Linked DNA regions of Oryctolagus cuniculus. Each later gene encodes a partner of the first gene's protein in a complex. Links are inferred from orthologs where the notes say so. Each region holds a gene or a part of one and is shown on either strand. Other genes may lie near its edges.

Region 1 (4,857 bases):
CAACCCAGCCCCGGCTGTTAAGGCCAAAAATAACTTACTATATTCTGGGTAGCCTGCTTAGGTCTTGATCAAGCCATTTCTAGAAAAAGACACAGGCACACTTCATTGCTGAAACAGTTACACATGTCAAAGTCTCAGGTGCTTTTGATTTTTAAATAATCTTCCTCTCAAAGTTATGAGAAAGACACCATACCTTCCTAGCCTTAAAAATGAACGTTAAGAGGAGACCTATCCAGCTAACTCCTATTCCCTTTTTATCCAGAAATACTATTCTAATCTGTGTCAACTGGAAGCGATGAACCTGTAGTCATCTCATGGTTACCATGACAGAAGACACAGGAAGGAAAACCTTTCTCCTGTAACAACAAACTTCTGCTGTCAGTGGCTGAATTCTCAACAGATAGAAAAAGATGTTGATCCTCAGATCTTCAGAAAACACTTTACTTCAAAATGTGCTGGAACACGTGCTACCAGCTCCCAGCTCCCTTCACTGTGACAGCTGGGATGAGAAGTAGCTTGTGTGATGGGACCTGCCTTTGGGACTTCTTCTCATTATCACCCATCGTTCTTGAAAACGTCCCACTGAGAGAAAATTGTTTTCGTCAAGGAAAAGGGAACATCAGTCAGTGCAAGTGGCTGTTCTGTGATCTGTAACTCCACTCTTTTCTAGAATTCGCAGGAATGCATTCTGTATTTAGAGCTATTAAGCCAAAGGCACATTTAAAAGAACAAAAGAATGGAAATGTAGCATGTAGTTGACTAACGGTGCTAAGAAGTTAGGTGCAACAGAGCTCCATAGCTGCCCTAAGACATTTCAAATCCACTAAATGCCTTCCTGATGAAACCAGCAGAAATATCCTACCTTAGGAAAACCACATCCAGGATCATAAAAGAAAAAAAAAATCACATTTCAATGCATGTGAAGGAAGACAGGCAGCTGCTGCAAAAGGTTTTATCTGAAGGCTTGCTTTGTCTCTACTCTGAGCCTATCTCAGATTTAAGCACGAGACAAGAAAGTCATTGTGGAAACAATAAGATTGATTGTGGAATTGATCTCCCACGGGGATTAGATAGGGATTCGAAATCTTCCAACGCAGGCCCAGATCCACTGTAAATTAGGAAGACTTGGGGGCCCTGGGCTTTGATTTTTCAAGACTATCTGAGAATTCCGCCCTTGCCTCAGTCTAGCTTGAAACCCTGGCTTAAGCTGGAGACACAGATTTATGGAGCAAGGGCTTCCAAACAGACTTCAAGAAATCCCAAACCTCCTCCTTCTCCCACTGCGGAATTCCTGCACGCTTAGCTGACCAGGGGCATGCCTTTTAGCCTCGTCTTCCCCATCCCTTGATTCCGCTCTGGTTCCTGGAGGAGGAGTCGCCCTCCTGGCTGCGTGCCAGGAAACGGGTACGGACCGACCAAGGGGGAATCCCTGGCTGGCCCGCCACACGAGCAGTGCCTGAAAATCAGATTCAGAAAGGTCGGTACGGAAGCAAGAGGGACAGCATCCGCAGAGCTCTGGCTGAACTGCCTCTCCAGGGATGCCCGCAGCCGGCCTTGGTGCTCGGCGTTGCGGGTAGCAACCCGCCCGCGTCTCTGCCCCTGCGGCGCGCGCCTCGCCTTACCTTCGTGGTGGAAGCTGCGCACCGTGTTGGCGCGGCTGGCTGCCCTCTCCAGCCGGTGGTCCGGGGCGGGCGCGCCAGGCTGGCCGGAGTGCCGGCGGTACAAGTCCAGCATGTAGGGGGGCACCACGGCGTCCCTGCTAGGGGTGGGTCTCTGCTTCAGACCGAACATGCTGAGCAACCGCAACTCGAACTCGCTCAGGATGTCGTCCGAGGGCTGGGGCGAGGGGCGGCCCGATGACGCCGCGAACTTCCTGCGGCCCAGCTCGGGGATGAGGCCGGCCGCGCCGCCCAGGAGGACCTGGGGAAGCAGCAACGCTAGAAGACAGCGGGTCCCGGCCACCATGGTCGACCTGCGGACAGGGCCGACGTGAGTCACCCGAGTTCCCCGCCCAGTCCTCTCCCTTCCCGCCCCCGCGGCCTGGGCTCCCGCTGCGCTCGCTCGCCTCCTCCTCCAGGGCGCCCTCCTGCCTTGCAGCACTTGCTGGCTATGTCAGAGCGGCCACAGCTCTAACGTTTGGGGTGGGGTGGGGGAATGGAGGGCCCCAAGTTCCTGACCCAGAGCACTTTTCTCTCTCCCACCCCAGCCTGGGCCCGTCTGATACTTGATTTGGGGGTTGGCCTTATCCCTCGCTCCCTCCCCACTGAACTTAAGTGGTTGTCACTCCCCCCTCCCATACACACACACACACACACACACACACACACACACACACACACACACCAGAGCTGGCAGCCATGCAGGGAGTCTGGGGGATCACCGCTTGATCTGACACCCTGCCGCGCCTAGCCAAACTCAGAGCGCTCCCTTGCCTATAAACGCGCGCGCATGTGACTTCCTGAGAACCGGGGCACGGAACTTCCTGAGCCACAGTTCACCACTTCCAGACCCTGCAAACTCAGGGCCACGACTTCTGAAGCCGCTTGGCGGTGGCTGCCCGCTGGGTGTCGGGACGCCCCGCTCCACGCCCGCCCGCGAGCCCCCGGTGCGGTCGCGTACGCAGGTACCTTCCCGGCGTTACATAAAGGGCCGATCTCCACGCGCGCACGTGCCAGCGGGGAAACCCACGGCGCGAGCGGGACCCTGGCCCTCTAGCGCTTCTAGCAACCGGCGGAGAGAACCCCTAACGCCCAGCGCTTTCCTACGGGGGACGGGGCTCTGATGGAGAGCGCGGGTCTCCCCCAGAATCTTGATGAAGACAGCGCCGTGCCACGGCGTACAGGTTGGCAGCTAACGGGTGAAACCCAGGGGCCATCCTCTCCAAGGCAGCTCTTTGACTTTTTAATTTTTTAAAAAAATCATCTAAGTGTTAACAGCCTTAATAATATATCGAGGAAGAGCGGAGGAGGGGCGGAAGCGTGCGGGCGCGGGGAAAGGGGGCGCCCCCGCCGGGCTGGGCTGCACGTGGCCCCGGAGAGGGGTCTGTTTACGTCCTGCCCGGCCGCGCCCCGGAGGGGGGTCCGCCGCCGCCGCCGCCGCCGCGCGAGCCCAGCGCCCGCCCCGCACCCCGGGGCCCGCGCGTCCCGTACCTTTAGGAGACCGCAGTCCGTCTAAGAAGCCCGCGGGGACACGTCCATTGAAAGAGCCTCCACATGGAAAAAGCTCTGGCCCAGGGACCTGGCGCGGGGACCGGGCGTCCGCTCCCTTCCCGTGGCCTCCGGCTTCTCCTCCCGGCGCCGGCCGCCGAGTCCCTCTCCTCGCGCAGGGCGCGGCGTCCCGGGCTCGGCCCGGCAGAGGGCTGCAGCGCGGCGGGGCTCGGAGGCAGCGAGGCGGCTCCGCCGGGGCGCGGGCACCGGCGCGAAGCGGGGAGCAGCGCAAGTTAAGGCTGCAAGTTCAAGAAGTCTCCAGCCAAGTGCTGACACACAACAACAGCGAGCAGGGGGAGGAGTGCGGGCCGGGGAAGGGAAGGGAAGGCAGAGAGGAAAGGCTGCTGCTGTCGTCGTCCTCAGGCACCAGCGCCCGCGGGACGCGTGGCCGCGCGCGGGGCCGCCTGCGGGACTCCGGGGGGCGAGGGTCGGGCGCTCAGCGCTAGCTCCGCCGCGGCCCATGGCTCGGGGCAGCCATCCTGGGCGACGCCGGGTCCGGGGAAGGGCACAGCGGCGATCTCGATGCCCGGCGAGCTGCCCCCCCGCATCACTCTGCCTGCCGCCAGCGCACCCCCATCAGCGCTGGCCAGTGGAAACAGCCGCGGCTCCGGCGCCCCGTCGTCCTCGGGCGCATTCTCCGCGAGCCCAGCCGAGTCCCGGGCCGCCGAAGCGGGTGGCCGCGCTCTGCCCTCGCTGCTGTCCTAGCCCTCGGGCCAAGTGCCCTTTGTGGCCGGCTTGGGGTCCGATCACACCTCGGCTGGCACGTCTCGAGCCCCCGATCCCCGGCAGGAGGTGCTCGGCATCGCGGCGCTCGGGCTTGGCTCCGCACTCTCCGGCGCTCCGCGCGCCCGTCCGCGGCTCCGGCGCGGCCCGGGCAGCCGAGGCCACCGAGCTGTGGCGCGCAACGGCCGGGTGCTCCAACCCGCGAGGGGTCTGCGGTGCGCGGGTGCCTCGCAGCGCCCAGTAATCCGCGCGGCGCTCGCCTCGAGGGCGCTCGGGTCGCCGGCGGCGGCTGATGTCCGGCGGCGGCTGCCAATCCCCGGCGGGGTGTGGGAACCGGAGCGGCGGGCGCAGCGCGAGCCGGGCGCAGCGCGGCGGGGCGAGGACTCCGGCGGCGACGGCGGCGGCGGCGGCGCCGTGGCGCGGCGCTCGCGGCTTTTAAAGGGGACGCCGCCTGCTGGCTCCCTCCCGGCCCCGGCCGAACACCTCCCCCTCGGCGGCACTGCTCGCCGGGGATCCCCGAGCGGGCGGGAGCGGCGCTCAGGGGTGTGGACGGCGCGCCGGGGGCAGCCGCAGCGGGGTGGGGCCAAGGGCGGGGGCGCGCGGCCGCCGAGGGGGGCGCTGGCGCTTCCACCCCCCTGCCCTAGGGCCGGAGATGTCACCCTTGTACCCGACCCTCGCGTGTTCTCCGGGGCTGAGATGCGGGGCGACGGCAGGTTCTGGCCTCGGTGTCTCCACCGGGCCCGTTATTCAGGTTTCAGTTTGAAGTTTTTCAGAAAAGAGCTCAGGGAAGTTACAGAGCATCTTGGTGCAGACGTGGTGTGGTAGACGCTTCTGTATTTCCCCGGCGAGGGGAAGCTGGAAACTGGCCGATATTTAACACAGAGACATCTATGTAGCTGCAGATGGAAATCCATGTGTGCGCATTTAC
Region 2 (4,058 bases), on another chromosome or scaffold:
CACGGTGTCCTGGGCTGGGGTTTCTCCAGCGGGATCGGGGTGCAGGGGCTGTGCCCCGAGCAGGGCAAACTGGAGGTGTCCCCGGGGCTGCGCCCTGCCTACGTGGTCAGGAGCTGGGCTGCTCAGGTCTGCCAGTTCCTTGAAACCCTGCTGGCCCGGGAGCAAAGCAAAACAACTCAATCCGAGTCCGATTCAAGTCCTTTCTTGCAAAAAAGCTCCGTGGCGCGCTGGGGGATGCAGCTCACGCCCGCGGCGGCGGCGGGGAAACAGGCTTTTTTTCTTTTTGCAAAAAGACATCTCGGAACCCCGCAGCCCAGCGCGGCGGCCCGAGGCCCGGGACACTGTTTATTTGTGTTGCCAGTCGGAGAGAATGGGCAGCGGGGGCTTCCCTGGAGTTTCCAGGCTGTGAGCAGCATATGGCAAAAATGAAATAAAGTTTTACGGAACTTTGTAAAGAAAACAGCCCGGGGATTTAAGGTTCGTGCTCCACTCCCCTCTCCACGAAGGGGGGAAGAAAGCGAGGGCCGGGAGGGCCGGGCAGGAACAAACGCTCCTCTGTGGAGCCCGGCTCCCTGCCCCCAACCAAAACAAGAGGTCCGGGCTCCGAGGAATTCGAAAGCAGCGATCTGCCAAAAACGCTGTGAAACACTATGGCGGATTCATTGGAAACAGATGGGCTTTCTCAGCTTGAAAGCCCAAAGTCTCCCCCTCTCTGACACCACGCACACGCGCGGGGTTAGCCAACAGCGCCCGCGCGCCCGCCGGCCGTGGGCCTCCCCGCGTGGGCGCGCGCGGGTCCGGCGGGGCCCCGCCCCTGGGCGCACGGCAGGTCCGCAGCCCCAGCGGAGCGCGGGGCCGGGGCCGGGGCGCGGCGACCTCCCGCCCGCTCCCCGCCGTCGGGCTGCGGCCCGGCGCGAACAAAGGCCCGGGGCGGTGGGCGCTCCGGGGGCCGGGGGCGGCCGCTTACCTGCCGGGAAGCTGCAGAGCAGGAAGGCGAGCGTCGGCCAGAATCCCAGGGCTGAGCGTCCTGCCCCTCTCCCCATGCCCATCCATCCAGCTCGGCCTGCTGCCACGAGCCTCTCCCTGGAGGAAGAGCTGAGAAGAAAGGCACGGATCAATCGCGCTGCGGAGCAGGGGCCGCCTCGCTCCGCCGGCGGGAGCAGCGAGCCGGGAGGCTCGGTTCCCCCAGGCCGCGGCGCCCGGCGCGCCCCCCGCCCCGCGCGCCCCTCCCCCGCAGCCAGCACCGGGCCCCGCCAATGCGGACGCGGCCGCGCGCCCCGCCCCCGCGCGCTCGGGTTTCAGCGCGGCCCCGCGGCGCGGGGCGGGCAGCGGCGGCGCCGGCGCGGGGACCTGGGGAGCCCGGGACCCCCAGCCTCGCACCGTCCCCGCGCCCTTCCGCGCTCGCCCCCGCAACGTCCACTCCAAGTGGCCGCCGCCGCCGCCCCCGCCCAGTCCCCTCCCTGCGCGCGGCTGAACACCCCGCTCCCGAGGCGTCGGTCCGTGGGACGCCCGGACCCCGCCCGCCGTGCCCCTGGGCCCTCCATCCCGACCCCGCGCGGGATGCGCCCCCGAACCCCGCTACCTCCCGGCGGCCGCTGCCCGGAGGGCCTCGGGGTGTGGCGGCCCGCGGCTCGGCCAGTCGCTTATTTTCCGCGAGAAGAGCGGCTGCTGCCCAGGCCGGCGGCTCTAGCGCCCTGGTGATCCTCCAGGAGCTGGCCGCGTCCCCCGAGAAACATCTTCTGGACGAGACGCAGAGGCCCAGCAAGTGCTTTTGGTCAAACCCAGCGCGCCTCGGCCCCCCGCCCTCGCGCCCAAGCCTGCTCGTCTGGTTCTCTGGGAAAGATCTGGGGTTTCATCCAACGTGGATGCCTCCGGAGCGCCCGTGGCAGCCCTCGCTCGCTCGCTCGCTCGCTGCAGGCCACACAGGCAGCCGCGCTGCGCCCGGGGCTGCGGGAGGCGCGAGCTGTGGGTGCAGCCAACAAGGCCCCGGGTCCTCGCGACACGACCCCGCCCCCGCCCCCGCAGGGAGGCCTGTGGACCGGGCTGCGGCACCCCGGATGAGAAGGGCGCGGGAGGCGCAACACGTCGCTTCCCTGCCCGCAAACAGGTCTCAGAGCCCACCCCGAGTGCCAGCGCCCCTCTAGGCACCGGTTCGCCAAGTGTGCGCCCCTCTAGGCACCGGTTCGCCAAGTGCCGGTGTCTGCAGTACAAGCGCCCGGCGCCGAGGCTGGCCCAGCTGGAGCTGCTTCTGCAGACTGGCAGGTCGGCAGCCGGGCACACACCAGGCCCCCGGGGGCCCGCGGTGCTGCAGCTGCCCCCCTGCCTCTGAGAGGGGGCAGCAGCCTGGATACGGGCTGACCCCGTGCCCCCTCTCCAGGGGCGGACTTGGCTCAGGCCTGGAGAGGTGGACAGCCTTCAGCCCCACGGCCCTGTCCTCCCCAAAGGCCAGGCCCACAGCATGGCTGCCTCAAGACTGCCCCCTGGATACGGCCTGTCCGGGGCTCCAGGCCCTGGTGGGTGTGCCTGCTAGGAACTGGCAGCCCCCCTCCCCACAGGAGACGCAGTCACTTGGAAAAGGGACGCAAAGGGCTTTTCCTTCTACGCAGGGAGGAACGCCTGAGGCTGAACGTGGGGGTCCCCAAAGTGGGGATTTGGCTGTTGCACAGTTTATGGACTGCGGAGAACAGCCCAGCCCCACACAGCGCAGTATGGGCTTGTGCTGACCTTGGGCCATCTGTCTACACTGGCCAAGCCAACCAGCTTGTGGACAACTCCCCAGCTGTCTGCAGGAGTGACATCCTCCAAACGCCGGCTTCAGCGCGCAGAGCAGAGCTGTGCCCTGCACAAGCCATCCACGCTCACCGAGCTCCAAGAGCGGCTGACAGCAGCAGCATGGCGGGGTCCCTCCGGCTTCCTCCCCCAGGCTGCAGCCCAGGCTGGGGCAGAGACCCGCTCCTGGGTCACGGAGGCCCCACGCTGTGGGGGTCTGGGGAGCTTCTGAGAGGCAGGCAGTGGTGGGCAGGGATCCCAACTCCGTGGACTTCTGAGTGTGCACACGGAGCTCCTAAATCCAGGGTGAAGTGCTCAGTGGAGACCCACCGAGCGAGGCGGTCCTGTTCACAGACAGCCGCAATGGGCCCCGGGGCCGCGTCGGGCCACAGGGAAGGGGAGTGGGAAAGAAGAGGGGCTGTGAGCACCTTTTCCAAGAAGGCGCTGTTTTCAGGCGTCTGGAAGGACTCATTTTAGTAAGAGCGGCTGCCGTTCTGACGGACCCTTGTGCTGTGCCCGGTGCTAAGTGCACCCCTAGACGCTCTTAGCTGCGCTAGGGTCTCCTGTCACCCCTGTGCAGATGAGATGTCAGTGCCCACCCCATCGCTGGCTGCGGTGTGCAGGGTGGGGGGCCCCAAGCCCACGCCAGTGAGCCGTCTGCAGCGGGGATCCCCCACTGTCACTGCCCCCTTTGGAAAAGCAGAACCAGGCCTGGCAGGGGCAGCTGGGGCTCGGGGAGAGACCTGCACCTGCGCCAGGGCGTGGCTTGCCTGGGGACTGGCAGCTGAGCAGGACGGTGGCGAAGGCCGTGAGGCCGGAGACCATGAGAAAGCCGGGGAGGGGCTTCTGGGGGATACAGACGCCAGGCTCCTTCCAGAGCCCCTGAATTTGAAGTCCTGGGGGTGGTGGAGCCTGGGCAACCCCATTTTTAAATGAGCATCCTCGGTAACTAACCTGGGGGCTTCTCTCTCTAGATCTGTGGGTTCTGTTAAATCAGGGCCTCATCAACCTTGGGCAGCCAGGTGGAGTAGCCTGCTCATCCTCTTGGGCCCAAGGTCAGGAGCACAGTGACTGGCATGTGACCCCGCTGGACCAGAACCTCTGCAGGCCACTGCTGTGGGGGAAGCCCCTCTGGTCTCCGAGCCCGAGGCAGGATGGGCGGAGGGGCAGGGAGTGGCTGAGTGCTGGGCTTCAGGCTGGGCGTGGCCGAGCCACACTCCCGTTCCTTAGGGGTGCTTTATCTGGGGCTCTTGGGGTCTGACGGAGGAAGTGACTCCCCACGTGACACC

What was found. Proteins that work in one complex are often made in the same cells at the same time.
Region 2: the proteins of BMP2 (region 1) and RGMA are in contact, whole or in part, in a crystal structure (PDB 4UHY), measured with the Homo sapiens proteins. The link is inferred for Oryctolagus cuniculus from reciprocal best matches to the Homo sapiens genes BMP2 and RGMA. Residues at the interface, in NP_001191.1 of Homo sapiens: Val308, Gly309, Trp310, Asp312, Trp313, Met371, Tyr373, Leu374, Asp375, Glu376, Lys383, Tyr385, Met388; in NP_064596.2 of Homo sapiens: Arg91, Arg94, Gly95, Leu97, His100, Ser101, His104.

What each region holds. Positions count from the first base shown.
Region 1 is NC_091442.1:31,667,852-31,672,708, reverse strand, and holds the start of BMP2 (bone morphogenetic protein 2 precursor), read right to left. Parts: upstream 3,212-4,857; 5' UTR 3,150-3,211; intron 1,973-3,149; 5' UTR 1,966-1,972; coding exon 1,623-1,965; intron 1-1,622. UniProt on the Homo sapiens protein: Growth factor of the TGF-beta superfamily that plays essential roles in many developmental processes, including cardiogenesis, neurogenesis, and osteogenesis. Induces cartilage and bone formation.
Region 2 is NC_091443.1:3,419,386-3,423,443, forward strand, and holds part of RGMA (repulsive guidance molecule A), read right to left. Parts: intron 1,722-4,058; exon of another isoform or gene 1,583-1,721; intron 1,409-1,582; exon of another isoform or gene 1,381-1,408; intron 1,096-1,380; coding exon 968-1,095; intron 1-967.